Macaca fascicularis: one gene and its partner. The protein of the gene in region 1 purifies or fractionates together with the protein of each later gene. This does not show direct contact. Links are inferred from orthologs where the notes say so. Each region holds a gene or a part of one and is shown on either strand. Other genes may lie near its edges.

Region 1 (3,681 bases):
TAAATGACAGAGCTGGATTTGAACCTGGCAGTCTGGCATTAGACTCCATGTTTTTAACCAGTATGTTACGTAATAAATAAATTTTGCTCTTCCATTTAATGAATTTTCTTGGTATGCAGGAAATATGAAACTATGATAGTAGCAATATCTATATTAGCTAGTAGTGATTTCTATTGCTTTTCTGTTCAGTGTTTCATACTGATCAAGATGATCCTTCATCAAGTGATGATGAAGGAATGCCATACACAAGACCAGTTAAATTCAAAGCAGCACACGGTTTCAAAGGACCTTATGATTTTGATCAGATCAAAGTGGTGCAAGATCTTAGTGGTGAACATATGGTAAGCAACTTTTTCATTTTTTAGGATTGATACTGTTTTTGTTAAGAGAAATACTTTGGCTTCTACAAAACTATCTCTATGTATGTAACTTTGCTAGCCTGACTCAAGAACGGTGAATTTATGTTAACATGATTTAATGAATAGGTAATACAGAGTCTGTCTCTGAAGTATTCCAGAAGTGACTTATCGGCCAGGTGTGGTGGCTCACGCCTGTAATCCCAGCACTTTGGGAGGCCAAGACAGGCGAATCACTTGAGTTCAGGAGTTCGAGACAGCCTGACCAATATGACGAAACCCTGTCTCTATGAAAAATATAAAAATTAGCCGAGCATGGTGGTGGGTGCCTGTAATCCCAGCTACTTGAGAGGCTGAGGCAGGAGAATTGCTTGAATCCGGGAGGCAGAGGTTGTGGTGAGTCGAGATCGTACCACTGCACTGCAGCCTGGGCTACAGAGTAAAAGACTCCGTCTCGAAAAAAAAAGAAAAAAGAAAAGAAAAAGAAAAAAATGAGTTATTGAATAAGTAAACTCTCAGCCTATATCACTAAGAAACCTATGCAAAGGCACCAAACTTTAAAGCAGTTAAATTAGAGGGTGGTCTGTAACTTTGAAAAATGTTTAAAATGTTCCCAACCATATTTTAAATAATTTACAAAATACATCAGAAGCTCAATATATGTTGTAAAGTGAGATATTCAGCTAAAACAAGGAGAGAGGTAAAAGTTCAAGTGCTCCTTTAGAGTTCAAAAGTACCAATGTAGATGCAGTTGCACAAACTGTATTGCAGTTAACCCCTGAAAATGCTAGGAACACAAGGAAGGCAGTGATAAAATTTAGAACTGAATAATGTTGTACCCTTGATTAGGGAATCTGTTTACATTTTAAGTCTAAAAGTTGGCTTAACTGGAAGGAAGCAACCATAAATATATTGGATGGCAACCAAATTCAAATTTAAATTTTGATGCTTACAATCTACAGATAAAATGTTTGAGTTGATTTTAGTATTTTCCTTAAGGAAATTGATAAATTTCCTAGTACTGTATTGACTCGTTGTTTCCTGTTTTAAATAAAATCTCATTGTAGTAGGCTCCAAATGACTCATTTTTAATACACTTGAATTTTGTAGAAGTGAATGGTTATTTCAATAAATGGGCTGTGGCATAATCTTTTTGATACATCTGAATGTGTATATAATAGTATTTCTTGTAATAATATTTGGTCTTTCCAACTTAAGAGGTTCGTGTTCTCTCTCCCTTCTCCTCTACCCCCACCACACACACATACTTTCCTACTGTTTTCAGTGTCTAGAGATTCTGGCCATATACTTTGAAACCTTGTTTCTAGAGAAAAAAGTAGGATGCACCATTCTAATACTACTACCTTTTTTTTTTCCTTTTTGTGGCAAAGTCTTGCTCTGTCACCCAGCTGGAGTACAGGGGCGGGATCTCTGCTCACTGCAGCCTCTGCCTCCTGAGCTCAAGCAGTCCTCCCTCCTCAGCCTCCTGAGTAGCTGGGACCACAGGTGCGCACCACCATGCCTGGCTAATTTTTTGTGGTTTTTGTAGAGATGGGGTTTCACCATGTTGCCCAGGCTAGTCTCGAACTCCTGAACTCAAGTGATCCACCCACCTGGACCTCCCAAAGTGCTGGGATTGCAAGCACGTGCCACCATGCCCAGCCCATTCCAAAACTGTAATACTTCTAAGTACCTGGTGCTATGAGGGTCACTGCCAAGGTGGGCTTTAGTCTTCCTCAATCCTGCTCAGTTGTTAGTGCTATGCTGAGGGCTCTGCCACCCGTCTTTATGTTCAGCTAGGGGACTGAGATCCCCAACTACGATTTGTGCTTTTCCAATGAAGATTTCTGACCACTTTAGAACTCCCATTTCTGTTAATATGTGGACAGGGTTTGAGTTCTTGAAGTTGTTAGTTTGGATTATGGAACACCACAACTATCTTACCCTACCTTTCTTCTGAAATTCTACTTTTGTGGTATTAAAGCACCATTGAACTTTTGGACTTAAGTAGTGTTAGCAATGTGAGGATTATTTTAGTATACATTATTTGGCATAATTTTAAACTTTGGCTTTAAAGTCTTGTCTCTAAATTTTATTTTATTTATTACTATTTTTAGATGGAGTTGCGCTTTTGTTGCCCAGGCTGGAGTGCAATGGCACGGTCTCAGCTCACTGCACCCTTCACCTCCCAGGTTCAAGTGATCCTCCTGCCTTAGCCTCCCAAGTGGCTGGGATTATAGGCGCCCACCACATGCCTAGCTAATTTTTGTATTTTTAGTAGAGATGGGGTTTTACCATGTTGGCCAGAATGGTCTCGAACTCCTGACCTTAGGTGATCCACCTGCCTCAGCCTCCCAAAGTGCTGAGATTACAGATGTGAGCCACCGTGCCCGGCCAAAAGTAAAGTCTCTAAAGTTGTAAAGTATTAACTTTGAACCTTCTTTTGTTTTCATAGGGAGCTGTTTGGACCATGAAATTTTCTCACTGTGGCCGATTACTTGCCTCAGCTGGACAAGACAATGTAGTGAGAATATGGGCTTTAAAAAATGCTTTTGACTATTTCAACAATATGCGAATGAAATACAATACTGAAGGTATTTTTCATGTATTTAAAAATCTACAGAAACCTGAAGTTTTTACATTTTAGGTATACTGATGCCCTACTTTTCTGGCAGTCATTTGCAGCAACCACTATTTATGATAATAGCCAAAAACTTGAAAGTAAGACAGACGTCAGTGGTAAAAAGTCTCTAAACCCAATGAAAAGAGCTGCCACAAAGCTTTTGATTTATCCCTTTCCAGGTGTAGTGTGTAGTTAATTTCATCAACTATTGAGAACATGTTATTTGGTTTCCTCTGGCAACCTTCAGTTCTATCCTAGGTTAAAATAGAATTGCTAATTAACTAGAAAAAGAATGAAAATCATATATATATCTCTCTCTCCAGTAAGTAAAAAAGATTAAGGAAAGAGTCATGGAAAATGAATGTGAATTGTCAATACATCAAGGGATATATGAAAAAAATGTTGAAAAGAGAAGCCTCAGAACATTATGTTCACACTGATTTCAACTATGTACATGTATGTAGAGTTGATGTAAATTTGGGCTTTTAAGTTTATGGGATTCTTCTCTAATAACTATTTAACTGTGTAATAAGTTTTTTCCACACACTCCCTGCCATCAAGTAAGGCTGCAAACAAGAAGTAAAGCATAGGAGGAAGGAGAAAAAAGGTGGCCATGGGTGAGAGTGAATAGTCAAAGCACCAATTTGAGGAACATAGAAGTCTAGGGAGATTCACTAAACTGGCAAGCTAGGCCTCATATAC
Region 2 (2,362 bases), on another chromosome or scaffold:
TGACCTCCCTGTCTGCACACTCAACGCAATCCATGGGTGCCTGGGTAACAACTAAGTCTGCTCACCATTTCTGTGAGTACCTGGGATTCAAAGTCAACTTTTTTCATGAAGACAGGAAGTTCCTTACTCACCAACCACAGACTTCCACTCCTCCTGTTTCAAGGCACCTGACCCAGCTTAACACAGCCAGGCTTAGGAGCAATGTGGCTTGATGTATGTGACTTCTAAGGACTGCCTTCCTTCTGATGAACTTGTCCTCTCAAACCTGTGCACAGTGGGACTGTGCCCAGAACGCCTGTTACTAGTCTCAATGGCATGGTTCCCTGACCTAGAAGCGAGGCTGCTTTTTACTGAAGGCCAAAGCAATGGAAGGCCAAGGGTGACCAGGTGCTCAGCTTTTTCAGCAGTTTTATTTTTCATACTGTCAGCTGAAGACAACCAAAAAAAAAAATATATATATATATATATACACACACACACACGTACATTTAAATCATGAAACACATATTTCCCAGTGATAGAGCTCATTTTAAAGTCAACCTTCCAATGGCAAAATAATAAAAATGATAAAATAATTCCCCCCATAAAGCAAATGTGACAAAATGACAAAAGAATTCTTAATTTTGGGGCTTTATTATAATTTTTCTTTTCAAGATGCTACATAGTCAAACAGAACTGGATTGGTCTTTTATGGCATAAAATTAATTCACAGTCAAACTCTCAACTAGTACTAGAAGGATTAGCTGAAGAGTCTCTCTCTCCCACTGCTCCCCACCCCCAACTGCTGGTGCCCTCGATTCTAACCTTCTGCACCCCGATCCATTCGTCCTGACTCCAAGCTAGGTCCCCAAGGAGAGGTTAGGCTCAGACTTGGGCCTGGGTGCTAAAAGTATGAGTAATGGTTGAGAGGTGGTATAAGAACAATCTAGAATACTGACTACTCTTCATTAAAAAAGGTAACCTAGAGTTGACTGTCACTACAGAGAATTTCCCTCCCTATGACAGTTGTTATTTACTGACCCAGAAAAACACTTCCTGACAGCTCTTCTCCAACATTCCAATAAACCCCACCTCCACATGACCAGACTCTCCAGAGACAGAGGAGCCCACAGACCTCCAGCAGCAATACCAGTTCACCCACCAGAGTTTGGCAGCACACAGCATTAACTGTACTCTTGTGACAATAAGAAAACATGAGATGAAATACATTAAATAAGTTAAATATGCATTAAACATCTCTGAATAACAGTTCAACTTCACTACATGAACCAATAAAAATTTAGCTTGGTCCCTTTAAGAGAACAAAGCACTGCCATTTATTTCCAAAGCGCTGGGTCAATCAGTCAACACACGCCTCTCACTTATGACGAGTACGTCTGATGCTGCCACAGTGCAATTCCTTTGGGCTTCTGACTCTGTTCATCAGTCCCAAGGAGCTGATGGCTTGGACAGAACTGAAGACATGGAAAGCAGCCTGGGCCGGGAGTGGGCCACGTGGGGACTACTGTGTGGAGATGACCTCACTCCCCACCACGCTGGGCTCCAGCTCCCCACGGGCCAGCACCAACAGGCGAGGAAGAGTGTCATTTTAAGAGAGGTAATCCAGCATCATGTACCAAGGCCTACCAATGTTTAAAATGACATTTACAATATGCCATTGTGACATTACTCATGGTTTCCCTTGTCATTAATAAAGATCATTCTTCCCCCCACAATCAGTTACTATACATTTTTAACTTTCTAAAAGATTGTTACATTATATTTGTGTGTGTGTATCTGTGTATGTGTGTGCAGGGAGGGGTAATTTAAAGGCAAGACCTGTGAGATGTCATCATACATTAATTTCTTTTTACACATGGTTATGATAAATTTAAATCCCATGATATGGTGGATCCATCAATCCAATTTACCATCCTGTGCATGCTACCTCTACAAGGCAATCTTCCCAATAATTACACCAACAATAAAGAACAAAACCACCAGAGCCAAGAGCCGGGTGCTAAGGCCTTCTTCCTTCCCAGTTGGGGCTAGCGCTGAAATGGGGCTGTTGCTCTGCACTGTCTTCCTCATCCGCAGTCCATCTTCTTCCTATGGGAGCAAATGCACATTTCAAAGACAAGCCAAGGCACCAGAAAGGGGAGTCAACCGTACAGCTTAACAGGATGGGCTGTTCATGCCCAGTGTTGGCCGACATGATATGGTCCAACCTCATTTTGCAAATGGAGAAACTGCAGGCTACAGAGGGGAAAGGGCTAGCCTGAAGCCACAGAGAAAACAGTCCCCTCTTTTCTTTCATACATTCCACTTGATGCTGCTAGTTATAACAGAAATCTAAACAGGGTGCTCCTTGGTTTCCCATGAT

What was found.
Region 2: the proteins of WDR44 (region 1) and VAPB purify together in Homo sapiens (affinity purification with mass spectrometry; 4 studies listed by BioGRID and IntAct, counting the BioPlex papers as one, with this or other methods). This does not show direct contact. The link is inferred for Macaca fascicularis from reciprocal best matches to the Homo sapiens genes WDR44 and VAPB.

Annotation. Positions count from the first base shown.
Region 1 is NC_088395.1:124,735,146-124,738,826, forward strand, and holds part of WDR44 (WD repeat-containing protein 44), read left to right. Parts: intron 1-189; coding exon 190-341; intron 342-2,811; coding exon 2,812-2,950; intron 2,951-3,681. UniProt on the Homo sapiens protein: Downstream effector for Rab11 which regulates Rab11 intracellular membrane trafficking functions such as endocytic recycling, intracellular ciliogenesis and protein export.
Region 2 is NC_088384.1:114,511,578-114,513,939, reverse strand, and holds the end of VAPB (vesicle-associated membrane protein-associated protein B/C), read right to left. Parts: intron 2,089-2,362; coding exon 1,930-2,088; 3' UTR 615-1,929; downstream 1-614. UniProt on the Homo sapiens protein: Endoplasmic reticulum (ER)-anchored protein that mediates the formation of contact sites between the ER and endosomes via interaction with FFAT motif-containing proteins such as STARD3 or WDR44.